Caenorhabditis elegans: one gene and its partner. The protein of the gene in region 2 purifies or fractionates together with the protein of the main gene of each other region. This does not show direct contact. Each region holds a gene or a part of one and is shown on either strand. Other genes may lie near its edges. The genes, in order: unc-64 and dat-1.

What was found.
Region 1: the proteins of dat-1 (region 2) and unc-64 purify together in Caenorhabditis elegans (affinity purification with western blotting, with the first as the bait; one study listed by BioGRID). This does not show direct contact.

The regions. Positions count from the first base shown.
Region 1 is NC_003281.10:13,275,293-13,291,502, forward strand, and holds unc-64 (Syntaxin-1A homolog), read left to right. Parts: upstream 1-1,966; 5' UTR 1,967-2,076; coding exon 2,077-2,090; intron 2,091-2,135; coding exon 2,136-2,235; intron 2,236-3,274; coding exon 3,275-3,374; intron 3,375-3,942; coding exon 3,943-4,197; intron 4,198-4,580; coding exon 4,581-4,675; intron 4,676-4,924; coding exon 4,925-5,041; intron 5,042-5,254; coding exon 5,255-5,365; intron 5,366-6,931; coding exon of another isoform or gene 6,932-7,015; exon of another isoform or gene 7,016-7,048; intron 7,049-8,494; coding exon 8,495-8,578; 3' UTR 8,579-8,595; downstream 8,596-16,210. Other genes in the region: Histone-lysine N-methyltransferase set-25, read right to left, coding at 9,174-9,216, 11,666-11,863, 12,952-13,388, 13,744-13,899, 14,204-14,593, 15,740-16,013; F56A8.8 (NR LBD domain-containing protein), read left to right, coding at 10,525-11,130, 11,186-11,284. UniProt on the Caenorhabditis elegans protein: Plays a critical role in several secretory processes, including cuticle secretion and neurotransmitter release, and probably assists in neuronal membrane maturation or the final stages of neuronal differentiation.
Region 2 is NC_003281.10:9,236,673-9,251,244, reverse strand, and holds dat-1 (Sodium-dependent dopamine transporter), read right to left. Parts: upstream 8,271-14,572; coding exon 8,252-8,270; intron 7,876-8,251; coding exon 7,757-7,875; intron 7,709-7,756; coding exon 7,389-7,708; intron 7,074-7,388; coding exon 6,924-7,073; intron 6,873-6,923; coding exon 6,779-6,872; intron 6,730-6,778; coding exon 6,535-6,729; intron 6,491-6,534; coding exon 6,378-6,490; intron 6,331-6,377; coding exon 6,093-6,330; intron 6,051-6,092; coding exon 5,922-6,050; intron 5,878-5,921; coding exon 5,778-5,877; intron 5,737-5,777; coding exon 5,636-5,736; intron 5,379-5,635; coding exon 5,208-5,378; intron 4,768-5,207; coding exon 4,669-4,767; 3' UTR 4,443-4,668; downstream 1-4,442. Other genes in the region: T02C1.2 (RING-type E3 ubiquitin transferase), read right to left, coding at 1-201; putative RING finger protein T02C1.1, read right to left, coding at 2,676-2,813, 2,873-3,050, 3,093-3,208, 3,551-3,601; saeg-2 (Suppressor of activated egl-4 protein 2), read right to left, coding at 9,049-9,175, 9,517-9,638, 9,688-9,942, 10,173-10,430, 10,477-10,560, 10,752-10,823. UniProt on the Caenorhabditis elegans protein: Dopamine transporter. Terminates the action of dopamine by its high affinity sodium-dependent reuptake into presynaptic terminals. Plays a role in the learned avoidance behavior of animals exposed to food that induces mitochondrial stress.

The DNA of each region.
Region 1 (16,210 bases), 4.0 Mb from region 2:
TAACTATACATTTTTGGGCTTTTTTTATTTTAATATTCAGTTTGGAAGTACTACAACTTTAAACTAAAAATATTTAACTTTAAAAAAATATACAGCATCAGTTTATGATGGCCAAATGCCATTTTCAAAAAGTTTTATGATTTTTGAAATTTGGAAGATTACCAGTTTTTGCCACTTTTTTGGAAGTCGTCGATCAGAAATTTAAACAAAAATTCCTTCGAATTTTATGGTCTATTTATGTTCTAAATATTAATATTCAAACATGAAATTTGTTCAGTTTTGTACCATAGGAGCCACTGGCGCTACTCCACCTTTAAAATTAAAAAAAAAACAAAGAGTGGCAAAAAACAGAAATTGCCACTTTTTGACTAAATAAGAAATTTTCAAAAAAAAATTCGAATTTTTTTACTATGAAATTTAATCATTTTGGCACCATAGGAGTCGTTTTTAACAACTTCCCCCACTGCCCTGATCAGATCCCTAATCCCACCAAATCATTCACCTCTCTGCTCCGTCTCACTCCTTAAAAAATGGTGGGATAAAAAAAAGAGTCGCAGAGAAAACCCGCGAAAAAAAATAGGGGTAAAGAGTCCCGCCCCTTGACACGCAAAAGCATGAAAATGGAGAGAGAGTGTGTGTGTGTGTGAGACGTCTAACTGTCTCGTCGCCTCTCCTTTCATCGTTTTGGCTCTTCCTTTTCTCTCTCTCGTGCTTTTCCCATATATATCGAACAGATGTGGTCTCTCTCTCTCTCTCTCTCTCTCTTTCACCGGGAAGAAGACGAGCTTTTCCCCCTCATCTCTTCTACTCTCTCTCTCTCTCTCTCTCGTCACTCAGTTTGCTCCTAAAACGGCTCCCCGAGACACACAACGCCTTCTATTCGGTGCTGCTCCCCCCGCGTCCACTCCCCTCCGCCTCACTTATTTTTTGCTCTTTTCCTTTTTTTTTCTTTGAATTCTCTATTCTGCCCTATTATCTTTTCAGTTTATATACAAGTAACCACGTTTTTATTTCTTTTTTTAGACTTGAAACTTACTTCAGTTACCCTCTGTCCTGTACAAAAAATTGTCAACTGAGAAAATATTTGTCATCTCTTTCTCTATTGTTTTGTTGTTATACATTAATTGATATATTTGAAATATGTAACCAAAAATATAAAATTTTAACGTAAAGTGCAAAAGGAAATACGGGTAATCTAATTAATTTTTTTTTTTGACTTTTCAAAACTTTTTTCCACTTTTTGAAAAAAACTACAACACTGTCATGTTCAAATGCCATAGTTAAACTTTTCAAAAAAATTTTGAGCATTTTTATTGTCAGCCAAAAAGTGGCAATTACTGACTTTTTGCCACTTTTATTTTAGAAAATAGCACTGCCGACCATTTATATTTGAAACATAAGTAAATCATAAAATTCGAAGGAACACTTTTTATATCGACAACTTCCAGATAAGTGGCAAAAACTGGTAATCTTCAAATTCCCAATAAATCAAAAAATTTAGATTTTTTTCGAATTTTTTACTATAATTTTTCGAATTTTTTACTATAATATGAAATTTGGTCATCAAATGTACATTTTTCGAATATAAATGTTTTTTGTTTAAAGTTGTAGTATCGTCAAAAAAGGCCTAGTCTAGTCTATATTTTAGTTTGTTCAAAAAAAATTTCAGTCAAAGTTTTGGTAAATTGCCGAATTAAAACGTACACTAAAGTACGAAAATAATAGAAAAACATTAATTTTGGTCGACTTCCAAAATTTTTAACACCAGGTTTTGACCACTCGAAAAAAATTCCCCTTTTTTTGAAAATTGTTAGTATGAACTTTTTGTGCAATTTTTAACAATCTTCATTCTATATAATTTTTTTTAAGTTTTAATAATCTGATAATTTCTATTTAAAGTATATTTTTCCCATTTCTCCTTTTTAAACTTTTAATTCGATTTTTAAATTCTCATTTTTCCTTTTCCAGACTTTCCATCAAAATCTCTTTCTTGTCTCTTTCCATTCACATGACTTTTTGACAGTCCAACAATAGGAACCACTTTTCGTGTCGAGACCTGTCAACAGGAACAACAACATGACTAAGGACAGGTGAGTCAATATTCTTGAATCAAGATAATGATGCACAAATTTTAGATTGTCCGCTTTAAAAGCGGCGCAGTCCGAGGATGAGCAGGACGATGATATGCACATGGACACCGGGAATGCACAATATATGGAGGAGTTTTTTGAGCAGGTACTGTAGTGGAAAAATTGGTGTCGAAATAAACAAAAATTATGGTTCAACTTTTTGAAAAAATACATGTAAATTTTTTCATTCAAGTCCACTTTAATAATTTGAAGTCGGCCAAAAAAATGTTTTAAACTCAGATTTTTTTAAACTTCAACTTTATTTCAATTAATTGGATTGGAATTTTGTTAAGAAATTCTCGAAATGTTTTTTTTTGAATTCCACAATATCTGAAAATTTTTAAAAATAGTTGATAATTTTGAACTATTATATAACGAGAACACAACATTCTGAGAATGCGTATTGAGCAACATATTTGACGCTCAAAATATCTCGTAGCGAAGGCTACAGTAAGTCTTTAAAAGACTACTGTAGCACTGGTGTAGATTTACGGGCTCGGTTTCGAAATTTATCGATGAAACATTAAAAAAATTTTTACTTGTGAAACTAAAGAAAATAGCGCACGTAAATCGACACCAGCGCTACAGTAATCATTTAAAGAATTACTGTAGTTTTCGTTACGAGATATTTTGCGCGTCATATGTTGCGTCATATATGCGTGATATGTTGTGCAATACGCATTCTCAAAGCGATTTCCAAACTGTAAATATTTTAGAAATGGATTTTGAACTTCTCAAATTTTCAAAAAATTCTACTAGTTTGAAAAACAAAACAAATTCCAAAATGTTCGCAAATTCTATGACCAATCACACAAGCTGTTCAAATAGTTGAGAAACAAGAAAAAATGAAACTCAATTTTGTGATGTATTTCAGTGACGTCCCCCCCATATTTCGCAATCTTTTTTTTTGTTGCTCTCTTTTGTCAATTTGCCTCGATTTTTATATATGTGTCATTTCGGGTGTCTCTGTTTCCCATGAGGGGGCGATTGAATATTCATAGTTTTTGCGCAACCGACGGCGACCTTTTTTTCAATTCATAGAGATATATAGATTCTATGGAATTTTGTTCTAGGAGCTCTCTGTGGAAATAAAAATGTTTGGGGTTGATGAAAATGGAAACACTTTAGTTGAATTTTTTTTGCAGGTTGAAGAGATTCGTGGAAGTGTGGATATTATTGCGAATAATGTTGAAGAGGTCAAGAAGAAGCATTCGGCAATTTTATCAAATCCAGTTAACGATCAGAGTATGTTTTAAAAAACTGAACTTTTAGAAAATTGATTTTTCAGAAAAATAAAAATATCGAAAATTTTCGTTTTCCAGATCTTTCGAAAAAATACCTGTAAATGTTGGCTTTTTTTTTTCTTTAAAAAATTATTTTTTTAGGCTTGGCCTTAGGCTTAGGCTTAGGCTCAAGGTTAGGCTTACGCTTAGGCTCAGGTTTAGGACTAGGCTTAGGCTCAGGCCAAGGCTTAGGCTTTTAGAGTTAGGCTTAGGCTTAGGCTCGGCGAGGCTTCGTTTTAAATTCTCCAAGAAAAGATCTGGAAAACAATTTTAAAAAGTTAAAAAAAAGAAAATTTTCATTGTTTCGATTTTTTCGGAAACTAGCTTTGAATTGTGACTCTTTTTTTTCTTTCAGGAAAAATTTTGTGCGTGTTTTCTCAGTAAAATAAACAAAGTTAGATTGAATTTTTTTAAAACAGTTTCGTTAAAAAAATTTCGAAAATAAATTTTTTAAAAAATTGTTGAATGGATAAAACAAGGTTCAAAATATTGTACTTTTTGAGACCCCCAAAAATATGCCACAATTTCAGAAACCAAAGAAGAACTCGACGAGTTGATGGCAGTTATCAAAAGAGCTGCGAATAAAGTGCGCGGCAAACTGAAATTGATCGAAAATGCCATTGATCACGACGAGCAAGGAGCCGGAAATGCGGATCTTCGAATTCGAAAAACTCAACACAGCACATTATCGAGACGATTCGTCGAAGTGATGACTGATTATAATAAGACACAGACTGATTATCGAGAGAGGTGTAAGGGACGAATTCAGAGACAACTCGATATTGGTGAGCTTTTTTTAAAACATTTTTATGGAAATTTTGCGAAGCAAAAGTTGTTAAAGTAAAAAAATCTAGAATTTTGGAGCACACCTGAATCATGGTGCTCCCAATGTCTGCTACCTGCCTACAAGGCGGCTTACGCCTACGACATATATGTATACCTGTCATAGCGCAAGACGAACCCAGAGAACATCGGACGCTTCAAAAAAATTTTTGTCAGGCACACCGACTAGTCGAATTATAAGTATCGTAGGCAGGTAGGCAGGCAGACGTGTAGGCCTAACTGGGGCAGGACAAAATTTTTCCTGACATTCTGTGCCACTAAATTTTGGATCAGTTTTTAAAAAAATTCACACAAAATTCTAATAATCCATTACATATTTTTTCAGCTGGAAAACAAGTCGGAGATGAGGATTTGGAGGAAATGATTGAGAGCGGAAATCCGGGAGTATTTACACAAGGAATCATCACAGATACCCAACAGGTTTGTTTTTTTCTAATTTAAAATTTGAAACAAAAAATTGAAAATATTAACAAAAGTTATTCCAAATTCGTTTTTTTTTTTGGCTTAAGCTTAGGCTCAGGCTTAGGCTTAGGCTTAGTCTGAGGCTTAAGCTTAGACTTAAGCGTAAGCTTACGCTTACGCTTAACCTTGAGCGCGGGGAGGCGTCCTTCCAATTCTCCAAGAAAAATTCTGGAAAAAAACCCAAAAAATGTTAAATAATTTTTTTAGGCAAAACAAACGCTAGCCGATATTGAAGCTCGTCACAATGATATCATGAAATTGGAAAGTTCAATTCGAGAGCTTCACGACATGTTCATGGATATGGCTATGCTTGTCGAATCTCAGGTTTGTGGAATTTTTGATATTACAAGTTGAATTTTCAAAAAAAAATATAGGTTTTTTCTAACAAATTTCTTAATGTCTAGTCTAAGGTAAAATAGAAGAGGTACTTTCCAACCAATCAGCGTCTTCGAGTCCGCCCACCCCGCCTGATTGGTCGTGTAATTCTCAGCTTGGAGGAAATTCAAATAATTAAAGAAAAATCCTGAGCTTTTCCAGGGAGAGATGGTTGATCGAATTGAGTACAATGTGGAGCACGCGAAAGAATTTGTTGATCGAGCAGTAGCTGATACGAAGAAAGCCGTTCAATATCAGTCGAAGGCGCGAAGGGTTCGTTTTTTACGTTTTTGGAAAAATTTAATATTGTAACTCTATTTTGCATGGATATACCTATATTGAGTTTTTTATTCATCAAAATTGATAGAAAATGTGTCTGGCAGCTGGGAAAATGTGGGTTCTAAAATTCCCAGACACGAGAATTTTTATAAATTTATTAATACAAACGGGTGTGTGCCTTTAAAGAGTATTTTTATTTTCATCGACTTTTCATAGTTTTTCGGAAACTTTTTATTTTCGCACAACAGTTTTGCATTCAACAAAAAATTGTCGTGTCAAGACCAACACGGCCCGGTAAGCAAGTGGTACATCCATGCAAATGCGCTCTACTGATAATTTGAGTGTAGCCAGGTTTGGGCGCGTGATAACGAAAAAAGCTTTTGGTCCAAAAAAAAATTCGAATCTATTTTCGGACATTTTTATGCATCACAAAAATATTGGACCACCCGTTTTTGAGATAGATGCGCCCAAACGTCCAGGTATACGGTAGACAAATTGCGTACTCATACAGTTTGCCGGGCCGTGAGTAGGAACCGTATTTTTGGCACAAAAGTCGGGCAGGAAATGATTCAAACATCATACCTCACGCGCAACATTTTTTTATGAATTTGAAAGTTTATGAAATATTAGAAAGTATAATGATATGATCTACCATTTTTCAAGTTGCCGCCGCATTTTTTTTTCAAAAAAATATCGATTCAAAAATTGATTATTGTACTGTATTAGTGATTCGTGGTGTACATCTGTAATGTTCCAGATGAAATGCTATATATTTGTGTTAATTGTTGTCATTATTCTCGTCATCGTCATTGCTGTCGTCATTTGGGTTATTGTTGCGAATGCTTCAACTTCTGTTGTGTTACCCTCAAAAACCTCAAGCTCCTCCACATCGAACACGTCTTCTCAACGTTTTCGTGTTCGCTGAAAAATTGTCATTGATTTTTTTTTTCTTAAACCCTCTTGCTTTCAAAATTCGGGGAAAATATTAATATTGGTGACGGGAATTGAGTTCAATTTTTCAAATCAATTTCTCATATGGGGGCTTTAATTTATTATGTTTTAACTTACTTTGTGTTGTCTCACTCTCTCACTCAAGTCTTTGTATTACGGGAGCATAAAATTCTGAGAATGCGTATTGCACAACATATTTGACGCGCAAAATATAACTATATCTCGTAGTGAAAACTACAGTAATTCTCTAAATGACTACTGTCTTTTTTTTGCTTAATATTAGTATTCTATCGATAAATCTCTTCAGTTTAAAATCGAGCTCGTAAATCGACACCACAGTAGTCAGAAGTTTTCGCTACGAGATGTAGTTATATTTTGCGCGTCAAATATGTTGTGCAATACGCATTCTCAGAATTTTGTGTTCTTGCATTTTTTGGAAAGTTTGTTGTTAGTTCTCAGCAGAGCGTGTTTGCAGACCGTGGACCTCCTGTGATTGTATTTTTTATTGTGATTGTCATATATTGTCCTGTGATGTGTTTTTTTTTTCGTCGTATTTTTTGTCGTAAACCATAAATGTTTCTCTCTAACCTATTTGTCCATTATTTTCAGAAGAAGATCATCATTTTGATCGTCGTCACCATCCTAATCGGCTTCGTTTCTCTGTGGCTCATTCAGTATATTCCTGGCATTTAAGCCCATTTGTTTCCCCGTCTAAACGCCCACGCTAAAAAAATTTCAAAATTTCAAATTCTATATGACAACAAAAACGGCTCCAATAATGAACCAAATTCGCTTGTTTTCTCTGAAAATAAGGGCTAAATATATCTTTGTAATTAGAGCATTAGATTAAATAGAGCAAACTTTTATTATCAAAAATATTTAATTTATTTATTATTTAGTTTCTTTCAATCAGGTACTTTTTTCATAATTAATCAACTTATTTTGGAGAAAATACTATTTGAAAAATCAAAGTGCAAACCCGCTCCACGGCCAAACGTCCCGCCTTTATAAATTGGGTCTCGTTAGGTATTTAGCGCGGCAACATCAGGAAATTCAAACGTTTTCACCCAGTTTTTCGTTGTTTTAAATATTTTTGCTGTCAAAATAATTTTTTTAAAAATCAATAAAAGCAATAGAAAGTAATTGAAAATGTTTGAATTTTCGAATTTGCCGCGCCAACTTCCTCACGAGACCCATGGTTTCAGGGCGGAGCGTTCTCAATTAGCCGTGGAGTGCGCTTGCGTCAAGGTTATATTACCGAATCTTGGATTTTTGCGCCGAAGCAAGTCAAATACAGTACCGGGTCCCAACACGACAAAGTTGCGTGCCATACAGAAATGTGCTGCGCCTTTAAAGATTACTGTAGTTTAAAACTTGTTTTTTCGAGGAAAAAAATTTTTAACTTATTACGGGAACACAAAATTCTGAGAATGCGTATTGCGCATCATATTTGACGCGCAAAATATCTCGTAGCGCAAACTACAGTCATTTAAAGGATTACTGTAGTTTTCGCTACGAGATATTTTGCGCGTCAAATATTTTGCGGAATACGCATTCTCAGAAATTTCTGTTCCCGTAATACAGTAATCTTAAAGGCGCATACTTTTTCGCGTTTAACAAAAACACTTATCGTGTCGAGACCGGGCAAAAATCACTGTTGATTTATTATCATAAAAGTACCCGAATTCCCGAACAAATTAATATTATTTTTCTTTTAAAAAAAGCCTAATTATTTCGCAATACATCCTGTTTTTGTATCTCCACTGCCTTTTGACCCACTTTTCGCGCGCTTTTCACACGTAAATCTCACCCCCGTTCTCTTCGACCAAGCAATAGTTCTTTTTAATATAAAAATTAAATTTAAATTACAAATTATTTCATTATTTTTTAAAATTAGAATAATATCGATCTCAAAATGGAAGCTTAAATATTTATTAAAAATTGTTTTTTCTACAAATTTTCAAAACTTTAGGATCCTTCCAATTTCTTACTGTAAGAAATTTTAATTTTTTTTTCAATTTTTTTTGCCACCCATTTCATGTGTTTTCTGTTCACTCACCACCAACCAACCAAAAAATTAATTAATCAATCAATAATAATAACAATAATGAATTTCTGAATCGCTTTGAGATATTTTTTTTGTGCAATTTTCTTACTAAAGCTAAATTTCAGAAGAAGATTTGCATCCTTGTCACCGGCGTCATACTCATCACTGGCCTAATTATTTTTATTTTGTTTTATGCGAAAGTATTATAAATTTTTTCAAATCTCGACGAAAAGAAAAACTTAACCAAAATGAAAAAATTGAGCAAAAAATACAAGAAAATTGGGAAAAAAAGTTAATGAAAGACTTGAGGGAAAATTAATGAAATGTAGTGGACGAAAATTCCTGAAATAACTCGGGCGGAAAAATGATTGTTTAGAACGGAAAAATTGTAAAAAAGAAAAAAGTTAATGAAATGAGTGTGTTTGAGGGGGATAGAAACTTTACAAAAATGAGCAAAAAATGATTTTTTAGAACAGAAAAATTGTAAAAAAGAAAAAAAAAGGAAAAAAAAGTTAATGAAATGAGTGTGTTTGGGGGGAAAAGTGATATTTTCAGGAAATTCAATTTTCTTTTCAAATCTCAAAAAGAAAAATGAAAAACTTTACAAAAAAGAGAAAATGGGCAAAAATAACAAACTCGAGCGGAAAAAAAAATGAAAAAAATTAATGAAATGAGTGCAATTGAGGAAACATGAATAAAGTCGGAAGAAAAGGGGAGATCTTCAGGGAAAAAAGCAGAAAAAAAGATTAAAAAGTTAATTGTCATACAGTGAATTAAGAATGAAGATGTATAGGGGAGAAACTTTCAGAATGCAGGAAGGGTTCCCATGCACTTGGTCGATTTGCACCTGAAAATTTACAATTTTTAAATTATTTTTCAGCTTTCCAGAATTTTTTTTTCAAATTCAGATATTTTTTCGTACAATTTTTTTCTGATTTTCTCTGGAAATAGCGAAAAAAATATTCCATTATTTCAAAATTGAAAAATTATTTTCAAAAAAAAGTTGGACTTTTTTTTTCAATTCTTCGTCAAATTTTTTCGTAGTTCTTTTGTTTGTTGATATTTCTGAATTTCAGAATAATTTGAAAATATTTTGTAGGAAAATCCCAGTTCACTCCAGGAGTGGGCGGCAAACGATTTTTTTCGGCAAATCGGCAAATTGCCGGAATTGAAATTTCTGGCAAATCGACGAAATTGTCGGAATTGAAAACTTCTGGAAAATTGCCGGGATTGAAATTTTGGGTTAATTGCTGGAATTGAAATTACCGGAACATTGCCGGAGTTGGAAACTTTCGAATTGAAATTCCCGGTAAATCGAATTGAAATTCCCGGTAAATCGGCAAATTGCCGAAATTGAAATTTCTGGCAAATTGCCGGAATTGAAATTTCTGGCAAATCAGCGAAATTGCCGGAATCGAAAACTTCCGGCAAACTGCTGGAATTGAAATTACCGGCAAATTGTGGAGTTGAAAACTTCCGGTAAATCGGCAAATTGCCGAAATTGAAATTTCTGGCAAATTGCCGGAATTGAAATTTCTGGCAAATCGGCGAAATTGCCGGAGTTGAAAACTTCCGGCATATCGGAAAATTGCCGGGATTGAAATTTCTGATAAATCGGCGAAATTGCCGGAGTTGAAAACTTCCGGTAAATCGGCAAATTGCCGGGATTGAAATTTCTGGCAAATCGGCGAAATCGCCGGAATTGAAAACTTCCGGCAAACTGCTGGAATTGAAATTACCGGAAAATTGCCGGAGTTGAAAACTTCCGGCAAATCGGCCAATTACCGGGATTGAAATTTCCGGCAAATTGTGGAGTTGAAAACTTCCGGCAAATCGGCAAATTGCCGGAATTGAAATTTCCGGTTTTCAAAATTTCTGGCAATTGGAAATATCGGCAATTGCCGGTTTTGAGATTTTTTAGCAATAGGAATTTCCCGGTCTTCAAAAAAAAAATTGCTAAATGCTATCCACAACACCAGCCAAACCCCATTCTCATCGCATAGGGTCACCTATTTTCCCAGCGTTCCAAGTTCACATACGCCTAGCTCTACATATCCGCGTTTCCACTGAAATCGATCGGAAAAACGGCGCGTTCAGACAATCGTGAGCCTATGTCTACATGATATTCATTCATTCATTTTCTTTTTTCTTCATCATGTCAACCTCGTCATCTGTGTGCAACACTGACTCCACCACCTCCCCATGCTCTTCACCCGACTCGACTCCCATGTCGAGTCCTTCCAAGCCAAAGGTGAAATCTGATCGAGAAATTGCCAAACTGAAGAAGGACATTCACGTCTTTGCGAGAAAAATTAATGAAGAATGCGAGCGCTTCATCGATAATCATATAGAGGTTAACGGGGAGGAGGACGCCGTTAACCAGAGAATTCCGACCTTCTTCATCAAGAGCTACAACTTTTTGAAAAAAGAAGCAGAATCTGTGAGCTACGAGGATCGCTTTCTCGACTTCATCCCACAATGTATTCGAATGAAGGTGACCACCGAGCAATACGGACCCCCAAACTGTTTCCCCGAAGCCGACGAGAATGGATATCTCAAAGATGAGCCGAAACGTTTGGCGGACGAACTCGTTCAGTTCTACGTTGACGTCATCGAGTACGTTCGGTTTACGTTTGTCTGTACTGGAAAGATTCCGATCCTTCCACACTCGTACTACCTGACTCTCTTCGTTTATCAGAAGCGTGTCGAGGAAAGCACACTGTTCAACAAAAGTCTAGTGAGGATGATTCCAGAAGTCTTGGTAAGTCTCTATTGAATATATTACCTAATGATCTAATTCATGAAAAATTTTCCAGCAATCAATGCTCAATGTCGGAACATTCGGCAACCAAAATATTGGAATAGACTATGTTACAGACTGCACCAGAGAACACTACAAGTATTTGCTTGAGTAATCATTTTGTTGATAATAACAAAACGATTGTCACTATGAGACCTTAATTTTAAATTTCGATAATAAAGTTTTGCTTTCACTTTAGTGTTTTTGGTGTTTTTCTTGAGAATTTTTGAATCAAAAAATATAAAATACGATTTCTACAGAAAATCTGTCAACACTGACGCGGGAATTCAGTTTTTAATCACAGCTTGCTTAATTTAATAGATTTACTATGATTCGAATGTTTGTTAATTTCATGTCACTGCGAAACGAAAGAAATTGGAGATTTTAGCTAAAATTAGCCGTTTTTCAGAGAAATTGAACCGTCATAATTTTTTTTTTGGAACATTTTTGAGAATTTTCATCATATTGAGTATATTTTGAGCAATAGAAGGCTCACCGGCATTTGACACTCGACCGTTTCCACTCGATACCGGGCTCGTAGTATGCAATCGTTATCTCTTCTCCTAGAGCGATGTCCTTGATGGCATATACTGCAACACGTGGAATCAGTGGATCTTCTTCGAATCGTCGACTGTAGACTTCGACGAACACCGAGCTGGGGTCACAGCTGTGATTGATGAATCGGGAGATATTCCTGAAATAATTTTTTATTGCAAAAAAAAACGTGATTTTGGTTTACTCTAGAGGGGGAAGACTTCCATTTTTCCATCAGACTTCAAAACGAGAAATTGTCATTCGAGAGTATTCCCCATTTATTTTTGGATTTTTCGTTGGTTTTTCGGACAAAAACCAAAAAACTTTTTTTTTTGGTTTTTGAAGAAATTAAATTATTTGTGGTATCGGTTTTTCGATTTTTTATAAATCTAAATATCAAAAATGTTATTTAAAATAACTTATTTTTTCGTTTTCCAATATTTCGAAAATAATTACCATAAAATTTTGCACGGAATTCTGGCTTCCCTCATAAATCGAAATGGCAGAGTTTGCCGAACTAGCCATTTTGGGTCGGAGAGATTTTGTGTAGATTTACGGCGCGTTGTGTGTCGCGGCTCGTTTTTAGTTGTAAAACTGATTTATTTGTCCGTGTGGAGTACACGAAACTTTTCCACGCGTTGTCCGGCCTGGCGATGGTAAATGGAGCGCGAAAATTCAATGAGGAAAGCCAGAACCCCGTCATTTTGTAAATTTAAAGTCAAATTTTGTTTAATGTGATGGAAATAATAGAAACTTCTTCTACAAAAGAAGAAAATTGGCCAAAACTTTAAGAAAAATCAATTTTTTTTAAATGGAAATATCGGGAAAACGAAGCAAAAATACGATTTTTTTTTCGTTTTTTGGTCCAAAATCAAAACAATTTTCGTTTTTCGGTAAAAGCGAAAATTGAATTTTCAGCGTCCGGCACACATTTTTCGATTTTTTCGATGAAAATCGAAAAATCTAAAAAATGTTCCAAAAATCAACCATAAAACATGATTTTTCATCTAATTTTGTTTATATTGATAAGAAAAAACATTAAAATTTCTTCAGAAAAGAAGAATAATTGCCAAAAATTTAAGCTAATTTTTGAAAAACCGAAAAACGAAATTATTCGATTTTCGGAAAAAAAACGAAAAATCGAAAAACCGACACCCTTGGTGATTATTTTCGAATGGCACATATCTCGTGTTAAAGTCTGTGGAAAAATTAAAATCATCCACGACGGAAATTTTATGAACTACCAACCCAGTCTTCTTGGCACTGATAATGATCTTAGTATCCATCGCATTGAACGCAGCATCGTACGATGAGTCAACTCTCTCCGGGGCCTCTGGATTCTCTTGTTCCTCGCCATCATCCGTTTTCGTCGATGAACTTGCGACAGGATCCGACGTCGGCAGCAGTGTCACGTCTCCAGTGTATTCACACACTAGTTCTCCAGCCTTGATGTTTGCAGCAGCACGAACGCCGAACCCTTTTTCAGGCCCTTCATAGTAGACGGCGAGTGGATGCTGCTGTCCTCGTTGAAGCGATCTTCGTGGGCAATCCAGACTGCAGCCACACGCGTCCGAGCATTCCATCACGATTCGAGCATTGTCAATTTTGAAATCCGTGAAGTCAACTTTCCCGTCCGGTGTACACTCCAGATTGGTGACATCGTGGGGATCGTAGAGGAACATGAACTGAAAATTCAATTTTTATTTGGGGTTTTCTGAACAATTTTTGTTGTACTGTTGAAATAGATCCGTGAAAAAGAGCATCACACGGAAAACGAGGCGGAGCGTAATTTTGCAACCCTGCGGCACGGTTTTCTTTACGCTGTTTTTTACGGAGAGGCCCCACGAAAAGGGGAACCGGCACTGTGTCAAACGCACAAAGGATCATCGAGAAAAATTGCGTTTTGCGCGTTTGGCACAGTGCCAGATCCCCTTTTCCGCAGATTTCCATTTCGTTCTCCTTTCCCCTTTTCGTGGGGACTCTTCACGGATCGATCTTTCAACCTCGTCAGTAAGTTTCTTTTTGAAACATCAGCCGTACCCTAGCGTCGCATTTGCACTTCGTCCCATTCTCGCACGCTTTACTTCTCGTGGGCATCCATATTTTCTGGCCGGTCAAGTCGGCGAAACTCATATTAGCACGGCTTTCAAGACATCTTTTGTAAGCGTCCACGTCGACGATGTTGATTGCAGTGTACTGAAAAAAAGAAAATTTATTTCGGATTTTTTCGAGTTCCGAGAGTAAAAAGTTATGTTTGTCCAGAAAAAAAAAACAATTTTCTACAGTAGAAATTTGTTTTTTTGTTGCTATTTTTTGGGGGAAATAGATTTTGGGATTCAAAAAAAATCCAAAAAACTCATTTTCTGTGCTTCAAACAGTGGTTTTTAATGGTTTTCAATGGCTTTTTCGTCTAAAAAATTCAGAATAAATAGAAATTCGACAAAAGCCCCACTGAATCGCAGTTTTTTTTTTAAAAGCCTCCAAAAATTCGGATACTTACCGCGTAGCACGGTGGGCGAACGGATTGAGTGTATGACGAAATATAGAAAACGGGTGCCAATCCCAAATCCCTATTATCCATTGTGTGGAAGTAGCTGAGATCCTGATAGATCCAGAACACATTTTCTGGACTACTCTGTGGCACGGGCTCGATGAAAATCTGTTTCAGAGCCTCGTCGAGTGTCAATTCGATTCCGTTTTCTTGATTTTTCTCGACGACTAGCTTTGCTTCTTCTGCGGCGGCCGATTTCACGGTTTCGATGAACTTGTCTCGAATCGACATTTCTTCTAGAATCGTTGGCGCTGTTCTTGCACATTCTTCAACTGATAATCGGTGCAGAGTGAGGCACGTCCATCCTTCGTAGTAAATCAATATTTTGCCTTCTTCGCTCTGAAAAATACGAGAAATTTTTTATTAATTTTTTTAAAAGGTTTGCTGAAAATTTAAATTTGGTTAGAGTTAATTGAGAATTCGCCAAAATTAGCTTTGTAGATAGATGAAAAAGGTATTTTTGCACGCTCTCCTCGAAACCAAATAATTATTAGAGCGCGCTTGCTGCGCTTCCCGTTTTTGCATCCGCGGCATTTTGACTTTCCACTGAAAAAAAGCAGATATTTCAGATTTATCGAATTTTTTGCTTTTAAGATTTTTTTTCTGCATTTTACGAACAAACCTTCTGTTAAACAGTGAAAATCGAATTTAAAATGACTAAAATGAACTTTTTTCGTCCACTGGTTGTGAAATGGTTTGAATTTGAAGAAATCAACGGGATTTTTCTTATTTTCTAAATATTTTTCTATTAAAAATCGGTTTTAAACCATTTTTTGACCCAAATGTTAAGTTACAAATGTATTAAAACCGATTTTTAATAGAAAAATAATCAGAAAATAAGAAAAATCACCGTTTTTTTCAAATTCAAACCATTTCATAACCAGTGGACGAAAAAAGTTCATTTTAGTCATTTTAAATTCGATTTTCACTGTTTAACAGAAGGTTTGTTCGAAAAATGCAGAAAAAAAATGTTTAAAGCTAAAAATTCGATAAATCTGAAATATCTGCTTTTTTCAATGGAAAGTCAAAATACCGCGGATGCAGAAATGCGAAGCGCAGCAAGCGCGCTCTAATAATTATTCGGCTTTGAGGAGAGCGTGTTTTGGTGTATTTTTCAATTTTTTTTTATAAAGGAGATAATTATTTTTGAATTCCCGCGCAAATGAATTACCTAATTTTAAGATTTTTCGCGTTTTCCAGCTATATTAATCAAAATTCCTTGTTTTTCTTGTATAAATGAAGTAAAGCTCCATTCGGCAATTTTCCAAAGAGTTTTCCACAAAAAATATAACTTTGAACTTTAATTTTCTTTCGGAGTAGCCAGTTTTCTCACTGTCTAAAAATTGACAAATGGAGAATTTTTATTAATATAGCTGGAAAACGCGAAAATCTCAAAATTAGGTAATTTATTTGCGCGGGAATTTTAAAATAATTATCTCTTTTTTTTTTTAAATTTTAATAGTTTTCCTGAAAACTAATAATTACCCTGAATGCAGCTTGAGCTGGCCAGTTCGACGCGTGAGCGCCATACTTTGCCAGATCGCTTTTCGTGAACTTCTTCGTCGGAATCCCGGGGAATGCGATGCCTTTACGTGACCAAGATCCATGCCGTTGTGCTCTTCTCGCTTCGTTACAATTCTTATTGACACGAGACTTGTATGTAGAGACAACAGTGATGCGTTCATTGTTCGGATAGTTTCCAGGACCGAGCGGAAGAACGACGACCATGATCGGATTTTTCGCGATTTTCTCTACACGTCTGAAAAAAATTAATTGCTCCGTGAATTTTACAATAAGCAACGTCGCACAGAAAAAGAGGCGGGGACGTAATTACGCAACCCTACGGCACGGTTGGGATCTTACTTGTTTTTTCTCGTTTTTCGAATGAAAATGTTATCCAATCACGGTCTCCTGGAGTGTTCATAATTATTAGAGCGCGCTCGCGCGTCACCTCAC
Region 2 (14,572 bases):
TGCATAGCATGGAAGAAATGTCAACAAACAAAATCCGTAAATCCAACGTGACCATTGAGAGTGACTTCTAGATTCAATGCCCAAAAATGCTCTGAGAACAAATTCCAACAGTTCTGTGATTGGCAATACAAGAAGCATGTACAACGCGTAGAAGAAGAGTATGTAGACTATCGGCGCAAATCTTGGATGACACCATGGCATATTTTTGTGGTCCTCCTGGAATTGGAAAATATGAATAAAATACTCTGGTAAGCAAAAGAGTTTTTAAAAACAATTTGAAGAAACAATTGAGGGTTTTCTGAAAATTATTATTTTAACAAGAATTATAGTACACCCGTGATCTACTGTAAAGTGAAATATAGAAAAAGACAAAATGTGAATACAAATCAAATTATTGGTACCAAAAATGAAGAATGAAAGAGAAAGGCTGGTTTGGTTAACGATTCTGTCGGTTGGTATGAGAGGAATAGACAGAGAAGGGAAAAAGGACACCTGCATGCAATGAGCAGATGCGAATATTATTTGTTCGATAAAAAGGGAATGGTTAGAGTATAGGGTGAAGCTTGTTCTTCTTACAGAAATTAGTTTTTTGCCTCAGTCATTTTTGAAACTATTCAGTTTTAAGTCGAAGAATATTGTTTCCAGATTGTCATTTACAGCCAACTTCCTGCTCGACTTTCAGGCTTCTGTAACGTTTAATCAAAGTTTTACCAAATTCTCAACTAAGTATGACCAAAAAAATATTTTCTTAAAATGATTTCAAGCAAATTATCTCACTACATTTAATTTCAAAAACAAATTTACGCCCGAGTCTGAAAATAAGGTGAAAATTTTAACTGGTGTTCGGGAAGTAAATTCTAGTAGTGAGGTGAACACAATACTCAAATGATTATTATTTTCAATTGTTTACATTCAGACAAATACGGTAGCATTTCAAATAAAATTGTTTCTTTAATGAAACAATTTAGATGTGTTAAGAAAAGTTAGTAACCGCGTTCACAATTTTTTTAATATTTTTTAAAGTAATAATAACGATTAAAATCATTGATTAACAGTTCTTACACAACATTTTGTTTTTTTTTTAATTTTGAATTGTTTTCGAGTTATTCTAAACTTTATTTTACTGAAGCGTGAGAACCAGAGAAGCCAGAAAAATTAAAATACGCTGAGGGAGTTAAAACTTTAATTTCACCTAACTACAGTTGATTTTTTATTGCCCGCAAAATTGTATGTTTAAGCCGAAATCACGGGGTGATTTTAAAGTTCAGAACGCAAATTAAACCTACTACAAAAATGGGGCAAATGAATTTATTTATTTGTTTATTCACTATTTCTTGGCTTGAAAATTAAGAGCAAAATGAGGAATACAAATGAGATGAGGTAAGAAATGTGAATGATAAGGTGACCAGATTGGAACATGTCCGAGGTCAGATGATACAAATGATTTCCAAGAAAAGTTGATGAGAAAAAAAATATATGATATGATGACATTCGGCAATTTCCTAAAAGGACTCCCAGTTTCTGTAAAACATTTCCGATTTTTCTTTTCTGAAAATGAAACAAAAATATATGACGAAACGACAAAAAATGTAAAAAAGAACATAAATTAATATGGGCTTTGTGGATACACATTGAATATGCAGTATGCATGCAATGTCTCGCCCACTTTTTGGTAATGAAAATGTTTATTCATGCAATGGAAGAGCTCCGTGGGTTTTTCTATACCAGAACTTTTCCTATTTGTATTTTCAATTTTTACGTTTAGTTTTGAACTATTTTCGTGTGGAAACTCAAGTATTTCGGGAAATTTAAAGCTCATGTATTAATTATGAAGTGTCAAGTTTTCGGCGGGATTGAGGAATGTGAATTTCGAGAAAAATACTCAATAGCGCTATTTTTTCAAAAATTCAAAATCAGTCTGTGAAGCAGGATGGAATAACCTTTTGAGAATAAATAAACATTTTATCTTATGCTATGCATAATGCCATGACAACTCGGCGCACCGTGACAAGTTTTCATGTGATATCTCCAACTATTACGCATTTGATTGTAATTTCAAATGACTCAGATCTCATTGAAAATATTGAAAAAAGTCTTGAATTCAAGGTTTGAATAAAAACCCCAAGATTTATTATTTGGAACCTATTTGAAACAGATTTTCAATTAAATATCAAACTCCTTGACTAAATATGGGGCGTTTTTTACAAATTCTAAGTGAACGAAGTTTAATTTTTGTTCTAGTAATTAAGTTTTTCAAACCAAGTACAAGTTCACGATAAGATATATGGCAGTCTAGAAGGAAGTTAAGTGAATAAGTGTATAAGTAACTTTTTATTTTCCTCAATATTTCAATTTTGCGTCTTGTATATTTCATATGTTCATACGATTCTTTCATTACTGGTATTGTTGTTTCGGTTTTATCGACTTTTAAAATTATAAAAAGCCAAGCAAAGTTAATATTACATTCGAGAATCATTCAACGCAAGTCTGATTTTATATTTTAATAGGTCTTTTTCTAACAGCTATTCTCTCTGGACTTTAAGATCATCAGTGTAAATTATCTAACCTTGTGCATACAAAAATTGATGAGTAGGTGATTGGTAAACAAAAAGTGGACAATGGATATAAATGTACAAATATTTCATTCAAATATTTACATAAAAATACAGATTTGGTTATTGTTGACTTGAAGAATTTTTTAATCGAATTGTTACGTTCTCCTCTTGGAGGTCTCCAGTGTGTTCTAATCCTACTCCAACTTGTTGCTTTACTTGCCACATAATCTCCGATTTCAGTTCTTCATCTTGTACATTCTGAATTTATGGTAAAACTTTTAACTTTTATGAAAAAAGCATTAATTTTGTTAACTCACCCGTACTAGATTACATAGTTCCGTAGAATGTCCTGGCCTTTTATTCAACTCAGTCCAAATAATTACAAGTGCTCGATTTTGAAGCAATAGTTTCTTTTGATAAGATTTCATTCGTTCATAATATTCAGTGGATATATTTCGAGAACTCACATAGCTCATTGTTAATGACTCGAGTTGTCTGAAATAATAATTTATTATAAGAAAATGGTCTTCGACTTACCGATTTCTGATTGGATTTCCAGTATGAGCTCTGCACAGTGGGCACTTTTCATTGATATTCAGGTGACTTTCGATACAAAATCGACAATAAGAATGACCACATTCTATTATGCAAGGCTGGAACATGTAATATACTTTCTTGAAATTTCCAGTCAAGGTTTTGGTAGATTGCCAGACTCTCGAAAATTAGGATTTTTAAGAAATTTAGATAATTATTGCATGTTAAAGCCCAAAAAATGTTCAAATACGTATATTTGAGACATAATTAAATAACATACAAAATTCGTGGAAAAAAACTTATTTTGGTCGACTCAAAATTTTGAGTGGCGAAATTCCGACTGAAACATTCCAAGCAATATTTGAGAAGCTTTAGGCAATCTCCGCACCGTTCAAATGATTTTTGTTAATTTTCTTCCGGTGCTACTCTAATTGTTTAAGAAAAAAACAGTAAGCACTTACCTCCACAAAAAAATCCAAGCAAACCGCACAGCAAAAATCTTCGTCACGCATCGTAATAACCAGAAATGATGATTTACTAATCTATAGGAAAATCTTCTAATTGAATCAAATTATATAAAATCAGTTTTTGTACTAAACCGATTATTTGTTTTTTTTTTGGTTCCGGACCCTAGAACAATTGATTATTCACATTGAACGGAAGGTAAGAACGAAAGGAGAAGAGGGGAGGGAAAGAAGAACACAGACAGGTTGGTCAGTGTGCAGAGCAACAAATGCGGGAAATGACTAGAGAAAGAACACCTGGAATAAGATAGACAGATGGAGAGATGAGAGAAGGGTCAACGAGATGAGATGGGTAATAAAATGTCACACAAAAAATGTGATTGAATATTGGGAATTTGTTAAGATTGACTTAATAAATCATCATTTAAGGCAACTTCATGACTAATTTTGGCAAATTTATTTCAAGGGCCAGTTTGCAATAACAGCTTGAATAAGTTACCAAGTTTTAGCCAGGGCTTTGCAAACATTTTGCGGAGAATTTCAAATGTCTGTCAAAGCGATTTCCTTATAATACTTCAAATTTAAAAAAACTAATATGATTTTCTTTTTTGAAATGTTTTGTTAATGTAGCAAACAAATAATTACACTAAAACTGGAAGTCTTTACCTACCGAATGTGAAATTTTTCTCGATATCTTTGATCTTTACAAAGAACCAATGATTCCTAGGACCGTGCCAACGTTTCAATCAAAATCTTAATGGGCAAAATGTCAGACAATTACAACTAGAATAGCGGGTTTGAGGTGTAATGAGATGTCTGAAAAAAGAACGACAAAACACGGAATAACCGGTTACTGTACATCTTTTTTCCAAGTTAAGTTGTTTGGGATGTAGTTTTAGAGAACTTTATTAGGCGGGTAACTTTATTGTAAATGAAATTTAGAAAAAAGAGAAAAGATAAATATTTAAAAGTGTAAATAGAGATGAAAAAAAAAAGATCAAAGAGAAAAGGAACAGAAGAGGATATCAGAGAGAACTAAAGGAAGGAAAGTGGTGGTGTAATATGAAAGTGTAAACGAGTGAAACTAGGATAATGAAAGTGGAAGACACCTATGTTCATAGCATTATGTCAGAGTGCGGTTGAGTGGTTGGAATTGGAATATATTCTGTTTGATTCGGCCTTTTTCGATAAGGCATTGTGACTCGTTGCCATTTCTGAAAAAAAAATACACAAGCTTTAAGTGTGTTTGAAATGTATTAGTTAATATATTTTAGTATTAAAATGTTCCAATTGAGAGAACGGTGTTCGTTGTCAACTTTGTTTTGGAGTTTAGTTGCAAAACGTTGCAGAAATTTGGTAGACAGCTTTGTCAGTACGCTGAAATTTTTTTTGCAGAAATTTTCAAAATTCTGGGAGAGAGTTGCAAAATTTTGCCAGAAAGTAAGACCAAAACAGTGCTTCATATCTAACTATTTCATTCTATCCTACGCTTTCGAGACTGATTTCTGCTCGGAATGGTTGACATTACCAATAAATTTTAAAAAATCCAACTTATAACATATGGCATATTCCGAAATCGAATTCACAGATTTTAGGTATATGACTAATACAGTTCGAACCTGATCTCAACCCAATTATTGTTTTAATCACTGACCTCAGATATCGTGTTCCCCCTCGCATTGACGAATTTGTAGATTCCTACCAATGGAATAAATGAGGCGCCTGAGAGCGCAAAAATAATTCCTATAACGTTTGCCGCGGTTGGGTATGTGTAGTCCTGGTAGGTCAAGGCTTGATAATTGATGAAGTTGGAAGTGATCATCGACTGGAATATTGGTAATTTGGTCATGTTGGATGATGTTGTAAATACTTTTTCCGCTACATATAGAAAATTGCCACACCTTCCTATTGGAAAAGATGTAAAATTTATTTTTTAATAAAAAGTTTGTGAGTGCAAATGTTGTTAAAAGCGCCAAGTTTGAATCAAGTGTGATCCATTTTTTGTCAAGTTCTGGTGCAAATTCAAAACGACACTTGAAAAGTTTGGGCCAACGCAGTTGGCGCCAAAAACCAGACTCTTACCAATAAAATGAATGGTGCGGCACAGCTCCAGCAAAACTTCCAATAATTTCCCGGGCGGAATCCCATCATCTCTTTGACGTCATGAACAAATTGTCGCAGACCTGTGAAATTTTGGAAATTTTGAGATTCAGAGCACACCTACCGTAGATGTATGCAATGACCATTGCTTCACAGAACACTGCAATCAATAAGCCCCATGTAGTTCCATAGATGATGAGCCATTCCATGATTAGAATTCCACCCTTCAAAAATTTTTGATGAAGATAGTTTTCGGTGAAAAGGTTACCTCTGTACACATAGCAATTCCAATTACCATGTAAAAAGCAAACAAACAACCAACGAACACTTCTCTGTTCTTTTTCAATATTGGAAATTCATCTGAAAGGCCGGTGATGATAGCTTCAGATCCTCCGAACTAAAATAATCTGCTATAGGTTTTCTTACGATTCAGACTTACTGAAGAATCAAGGCCAAGTGTCATGAGCATTAAGAAAAAGAGCACAGACCAGAATGGAGCATATGGCATTGTTGAGAGTGCTTCTGGATAGACTACAAATACTAGTCCAGGGCCTTCTTGAGCAACTGCTTCAATTGGTTTTCCAGATTTGCAGGACATGTAGCCGAGTACGGAGAAAATCACAAACCCTGAGAGAAATGATGTTGCACAATTGATGAATGATGTGAAAAGAGCATCCCTGTAAAAATTTCAAAAAAATTGTAATTCAAAAATTCCAAAACTTACACATATACATTATTATGGAAATCATTATATGACGAGTATGCCATGAGAACTCCGAATCCTGGCCCTAATGAGAAAAATACTTGCGTGGCAGCATCTTGCCAGACCGATGGTCTCTACAAAGCTTGAAATTTGAATTTTTCTATCTGAAACTCGAAACCTTGAGCATTTCAAAGTTGGGTCGAAGATAATATTCGATTCCGTTTTGCCATCCGGGTAGAGTCACTCCACGAATGAATAGAATTCCCAGTACAACATATGGAAATAGAGCAGTAAACCAGACAACTTTTCCAGAAGTATGGATTCCTTTCCACATTGAAAAGTAGCAAATGAGATACACAACGAAGAGGGAAAGCTTTAAATTAGAATTTTCAAATTTCATTCATTAATTTTTGTATACTTACAGCAATGTCCCAACGTACATTTCCCAGATCGGTGACACTTCGAATAACGTGAGAGTTCGGTGCATTTGCTTCATGGAGCCCCAGAAATCCCTTACTGAAACATATATATTTTTTTTAGAAATTATCAAAAAAGTTTAGAAATTACTAAAAGTATTCTTCAGCAGCTGAAATCTTTTCAGCTGAGACAGATTGATTTGCACTTCGACACATTGCTGTTCCGTCTTCTGACCAGTGTGGTTCGTAACAAGCAGGAGAGTTATAACTGTTGTTACAGGATGCCCATGGCAGGTTAAAACTGAAAATAAAGTGAATATGGCAAAATTAAAAGGAATGGTGGTTTTTAAAATTTTTCTGGTATAGCATTGGCAAGATATCCGAATAGATATCTAAAAATAATTAGTATCAAGTTTTAAAAAAACTGTAATTTTTTTCTTGAAATTTTACCAGAGGCTTTGTAGAACTTTAGTCATTTTTGGTAGACTTAGACAAGATTTTTGACATTAATTGCAATAGTTTTCCAAATTATGGCGGTAAAAATTTATAAGATTTAAAAATTATTTGGTTTTACTATGTCTTTATAATACCTAAAATAAGCATATTTTGTCCTCACCTGAATGAAGTATATAAATAATGAAGCCCCCAGGCAAGGATCACATTATAAAAGAAATCCACATAGAATGCGGTTAAAATAACACAATATCCGATTCCTTTGAACAACGGACATATTCTTCCCCAAGTTGTGATTGCTCCTTTTCTATAATACTGGCCGAGGCACAACTCCATGTAGAATAGTGGAACTCCTGTCAACAGGACCATTATAGAATAAGGAATCAGAAATACTCCTCCTCCATTTTTGAAGCAAAGATATGGAAATCGCCATATATTTCCCAAATCTACAGCAAACCCGACAACTGAGAGAAGGAAGTCCAGCTGAAAAGATGGGTTCATATGTAGAATTACAGGCAAGATGGATCTTACCTTTCCAGACCACTGTTCTCTTGCTGGATCTTTGGGTTCTGTATTAACTGGTCCATCAATAGGAAGAGTTGCATTTTGCATGCCATTAGACGTCCGACCGATTTTTTCGTCGGGATCGTCTGAAGATTTGATTTTAACTTTAGTTAGAAGTCACCGACTAATTTTTAATCTAATGTTAAACCCTGTGAAGAATTATAAAACTTAAAAAAAAATTTTAATGGTAAGTTATACTATACCCAGAGTGTTACGTTGGTCTCTAAGGATGAGAACTTTAGCCGCGGGTCTCGCCACGCGGAGAACGAATTACTGTAACTCATGTCAATTTGCAGACCGCTATTGTATCATATTCTTTGTTTGCGTGGCGAGACCCATGTGCGTAAGATTTGGCGAAGATTCTCATCTTGAGGCGTCTACGTAATAACAATTTCAGAAAGATAGCTTTGTTTTATAACGAAAGTCTACAGATAAATAAGAGTCGGGCAAAAAACGAAATACCTGTAGGCACCAACTGCATGGCTAAAAATTGTTGAGATTCGAGTAAACCGTAGCGGGATCAGCTTTTCGACTAATTTGGAATATGGACCTGAAAACACATGAATCTAGTATAGTTTTAAGATATTTAAAAATAAAATCAGCTCATTGAGCCCGTAGCTATCCACTTTTCTTGTCAGAACAAAAAAACCGAAAGAATGGGAAGAGGTAGAGATTGCCTTGGAATCTAGATGTGGTGGCATGTCGAATATTCCGGTGTATGTGTGCCAGCCTCAATATCATCGTCGTTTTTCTTCCAAATTCTGCTTCTGAATCATGTCGGCGTCTCCTAACGACGCAGTCTCAGTTGGTGAAGACTACGGTGCGGTGGATAATTGCCGGAAAGCATCTATCTACTTATACTTCTTTTCTTCTTTTTCTACATTTATCCGAGCTATGTGTATATGTTTGTGCGATTATATCTGCTTCAAAGGGGTCATACTGGAATAGGCATGGATTTATTGTTTTTAGAGAAAAGGACAGGAAAAGATTTGGGAAAAGGGCATTGGTGTGTACATATGATCCCAAAGTTGCTCAATAGAGCACTTTTGCACGCGGGTATCGGAATTTAAGAATGCATAATATTTGAAAGAAATGAAACTAGCGAAGCTAATGATAATGTCATAGATATTTTGAGGATACGAGAGAAAGTGTATGAGGTCGTTTTAGTGAAAACTGGATTCAAGTTCCATTTCATGGATTTCAGAAAAGTATTCAGAATTGGGAATGTGCTTTAAAATACAAAAACGACTAGAAACATTTCAGAGATAATTATTCGGTTGTGTGGGCAGAAAGACTTTGTACTTCTCGTAGGTTGATGCCGCTTTTTGGCGAATTTTTGATAGCAGTGGCTCGGAGATGAGGAATGAGACGTTGAGGACATCTTGGCTGAAATAAAAATGCTAAATTTTCAAAAATTTATAGAACTCTCTGAATATTCTCACAATTTTCTCGTGGACAATCGCTCTAATTTTAATTGCTATCTTTTTACGGACTTTTTTTTATTATCAACCAATTTTTCTCTCATTTCTAGATATTTTCTACTTCTTTTCTACCTGTTTCGTTGTAATCTGTTATTTTTGATCGGTAGGTGAGGGAAGTGCTGCTCGGCGAAGCGCGATGCGATTTAGAGCAATAATTATTTTTCGGAGAGTTTTGTTGGAGTAGGATAATCATTTCCTTTATATTTTTCTTTGGTTTTCTCTTTTAAATTTGTAGAAAAAACTTACAAGTAAGTGGAGGGAACTAGCTGACGAGCATCTTCTGCAACCAGAAGATAGCATCTACCGGGTGCCCTGATGAGAAGATTTTGCTCATGTAGAATATTTTTGTCATCTTCATCGCAGGAATACTAAAACGGTAGAACAGTTTTTGAAAATTGCCGATTTCCAGTTACTTACTCTAAACATTCGTGGATACTTGTTGAACAGAATCGACGGGGGCATTCCCATCACTTGCGCAATTTTTGTCGCCGTTATAAAACGGGTGTTCACATCGATTCTGTCCGGATTCCACCGAATGACTTCGTTCATTGTCGGTGGCGTCATTTCTAGTCGATATGCTTCTTCATCTTTACGTGGACGACCTCGTCGTCTTTTAGCATCGGAGCAGTGGCTGACTCCAGACACGTCTGAGCTATCCGATTCGTATCCTCTCTGAAAATATCAGCATTTTTGATATACTTTGTTTTGTATTTTTTAACCACGCCGTAGTGATTAAAGTTTTGAAATCGTCGCCAAAATTTGCTTTAATTACTTCCGTTGTATCTATTAAAATAGTTTTGAAAGGTCCTTTTTTGAAAACAGTCGGCGAAAATTTTCCAGATATTTTCTAGAATTGAAAAATATAGTTTTTCATTCTTTATTCGATTTGAGATTTGAATTACCTTTAAATTATTCTCATGTTCTTGACTGTTGATATCAAGGAACCCATTTCCATTTGTACAAATCGGTGGCATAGGCTCCGGATCTTTTTGATATGGCTTCTTTGCAGCCTCCAAAATGTTACAGTACAAACCATTCAAAACTGATTCGTCAACAACATGCCCATTTTTGCGGAGATTTTCGATAGCTGGTAATAGCGTTGTTCTAGTATGCCTCTCCATAATCTGATGGATTTCTCTCGATATTTCCGCTTGGAAAATCTGAATAATTTTCATTTTAATTACTTGAAACATTAACAGTCCATACCCGTCTCATTAGATCCAACGAAGATGGTGCATCGTCTGCCATATCCATTTTGTTCCTTTTTATCACGTGCTTCAATGAATTTACCTGAAATTTTCCCAATTTCTTTTTCCGGTGTGAGTTTTTTGTTGCTTTTTTAGCAAAATTTAACTCTTTTTCATCCTCCACAAAAAACTCGATTAAAATTCACACTTTTTGCAGGGCAATGTTTAAATTAAATCAGTTGATTGTCATAATGCATCATCCAACACTGTTCACAATTTTTAAAAAGAACTAACTCTTGCTGACGATCCATCGTTGCTTCCATCCATTTCTCTGCTCAACAATTCATCGAGAATCACTATCCTCATATTCATTTTGTTGCCATTCCCATTTCCAGTTTGCCGTTCGAACATTTTCAGTGCTGAAAATTTAAATTTTAAGATTTGAGTGTATATGGGTGACTACGTAGAAAAAAGAGAAGAGGAAATAAAAGTGGCAGTCATGCTAGCTGGCTGGAAAATACTATCGTCTTTTGGATAGACGCAGAAAAGACGCAGCACTCTCTGCGACTCTCCAGGCGGCATGTTTTCCTCATACTCTCTCCCTGACACGCTCTCCCTGCCTTCTCTCAACTCACTTCTCCGTTGGTTTTGCCCATCGCACAGAGTTTGTGGTTTTTGTTTCGCTTTTTTCTCTACTAGTTATGATGTCCATGCTCCCTCTTCTTCCATTTCCTATGTTCACTTTTCTCCGAAGGTGGTAGATTGAGAGTAGTAGCTTGATAAGATCAAAGACATTGGTCAGTTTTGATAAACCTAATGTTTGTTTTTCTATTTCGTGGTGAGAGGAAAGAGACAAATCGGCGATCCGGTTGGAACATTTGGACAAACACTTGTTCGCACTAAACCAATCAATCACACAGTAATCAGTTCGACGGTTCTGTTTTTGTGTCATTTGTTATATTCTTCCGTGTTGCGTATTTTCGATTCTATCTTTGTCAAATAGTATTAAAGTTGTGAAAAAAGTTTAAAAATCTGTTCTTCGAAAACGAAAGCGATCATTCTTTAATTTGTCATCCAGTTTTGATATTGTCCATACTCGAAATCTTGCGTTTCTTACGCTAAAAGAACGGTACTCTTTAAAGGCGCGCACATTCTTGTATTTAACAACATATTTCGTGCCGAGACCGGATACCGTATTTTTAACGCAAAATTACGGAAATTTTGCGTCGGAGTAATATTTAATTCCTATGTTAGCGTAATAGTGAGTCAAGACATTGATTCTGATTATACCTATTTAAATTGTTTCAAATTTTTTACTTCTTATATCTGCTGATGTGAAGCTGTCTAGAATAAAAATGTTTAGTTTGAACGGACTAAATTAGTATAAATCTGATTTATTGAGTGTATATAAAATTTTCTCCTCCTCTTCCTCATGTCATATTCAGAAAGGCCGTCTTTGTTCTTAACCTATAATATGAGCATGCCATGGTGATATCTCTCGAAGCGTACCTGGATATTCTTGAAAACCATTTGCGTCATAGCTAGGCTTTTTTCCAGTAGAGTTCAGCTGTTGCCATTTGGCGTTTGTGTCAACCAGCATCATTTCTGAAATCAAGATTTTCTCTAGCGCTCGAGAAATAATCAAATTTATAAACATCAATATGTCTCTGAATATTTCCAAAACATTTCACACACTCCTCCGATTTGTTCACCACGCTAGCTGTTGTGTTGGCGCGCAAGGAGTTTGCACTACAAATATCCATTTTCAATGATCGCTGTCTGTCTCAAAGCCGCGATGGAAAACCCTCTTTCTCATCGATCTTTTCAAATTATTATTTTCATCTTCGGTTCCGTTCATTTCGAATTCTAGTTGCTCCAAAAAACAATGAGAACCGCCGCGGGTGGGTCCTTCGCAATTCAAGACGGCAGTCGCTTTCGTGGAAGCAGTTTCACTAGGTCTTTATTTTGCACAAACAAAGTGATGGGTTGTTGTTTGTGCTCACGAATACTTTTCTTCCCTTCTTTGTCCCTTCGTGTGACCGATATGTCTGCCTGTCTGGATAGCTGTTTTTCTTATTTTTGTGCTCTGTGTTCATCTAATTTGTGGGGGAGCATGATCCTATTATGATCACTTGATTGTAGTTTTCTGTAGAGGTCTGTAGTGTTTTAATTATTATTGTGGAAAAACTCAGTTTTATTTAAAATATTGGTTAGAATCTGGAAAAAATAATTTAGAGACTCAAAAAAAACTGAAATTGTGTATGAATTTTTCAAATGCATCACTGAAAACATAAGTTCACACTATCAGCTCTAGATATGAAGCCTAGCACCTGTTCTTCACTCGCTCTCTCTCTCTCTCTCTTTCCCTCTGTCTGCATTGATTTTCGAGAAGTCTTTGACCAAGCGCAGCTCATTGAAATTAGGCCCTCTTCTCCTTTGAAAGACTCGTCTTGCTCTGTTCTCTCCTTCCTTCCTGTGCTCATTTTGTGCTTCTCCTCCTCCAGAATTCCCCGTTTCTAATATATACACAAAGTGCCATTTCAAGACCCTCCTGCCCTGTCGTTCTTGCATTTTCCCTCCCGCCCGTCAAGTTGACGGCAACTGCCTTGCATTCCTCTTCTATTTTTTGTGTTGCTTTTTTTCCTTTCTTCCATGCAATCTTCGCACAAATTATTGTTGCATTCTTTTCTACAAAAAAAGTGTTTTTGTGGGACTCAGCAGCCTAAAGCATAAAATTGAACGAAAACCAGGAAATAAAAAAAATGAAAATGGCACATATCGATGTTTTCCGGTCCGTTGAAATTCGAATTCCTTCTTTTTTACACCCACATGACTTTGAAGTTTACTTACACTTCAGCTCCATTTTTTGCCGATCAACACTCACTGACCATGCTTTATTGGTTCTTTTGACACTTCATTTGAAACAATCTAACAGACTTTTCAAGCCAAAACAGTCGTATTCTATTTATCAGTAACGTTGGTCACTCTCTGATAGAAATAGACTGATGGGTTGTATTGAATTTGAAACTGATAAGCTAGTTGAAAGATCATTTATTCTCTCTTGGATTGTTGTATTACGCTCCAAGCAGAGTTTTGATTCAATTTTCTTTTTGGATTTTCTATTTTCAATAAATGTGTCATATTGTTGACGCTATTGTATTGTTCCGATTAGAGAATATACGTTTTGAATCATATTTTCCTTGTTTTTTCTTTGTCGCTTTAACTTTATTATGTCCTTATCAATATTTACATTTTTTTAGCGGTCACCTCACTGCAACTTTTTCCTCACGAGGGACGAGGAAAAGTGGTTTCTAGGTCATGGCCGAGGGGCCGACAAGTTTCAGCGGCCATTATCTTGCTTTGTTTTCCGCCTGTTTTCTTTTGTTTTTCATCGATTTTTTTCATTTTTTCTTAATAAAACTGATAAATAAATATTTTTTGCAGATGCTAAAACAATTTCCAAGTAAAAAAATCATGTATTCAGTGGGCAAGCAGCGGTGAAAGTGGGCATTGTAATATGATGGATTACGGGAATACAAAACCTAAACTTTTTCTGAAACATGATACATATGCTGCTTAAATGCTGAGACTACCTGATTCATAAACGAGACCGCTGAAAAAGTTTTGAGGTTTCCGAAATTCAACTTTTTTGGTGAAAAAGTCGAGATTTTCGCACAAAAAGTTGAATTTTGAAAACCTCAAAACTTTTTCAGCGGTCTCGTTATGAAAATCAGCATCTAAGCATCGTATGTATCATGTTTCAGAAAAAGTTTAGGTTTTGTATTCCCGTAATCCATCATATTGCATTGACCACTTTCACCGCTGCTTGCCCACTGAATACATAATTTTTTTACTTGGAAATTGTTTTAGCATCTGCAAAAAGTATTTATTTATCAGTTTTAATAAGAAAAAACCGGGAAAAAGCTGTGAAAAACAAAAGAAAACAGGCGGAAAACAAAGCAAGATAAATGGCCGCTGAAACTTGTCGGCCCCTCAGCCATGGCCTAGAAACCACTTTTCCTCGTCCCTCGTGAGGAAAAAGTTGCAGTGCACCTGAGCATAAATCAAATCCCGTTAATCACTAGGTTTCCCGTCATCTTGATTTTTTTTTTCAT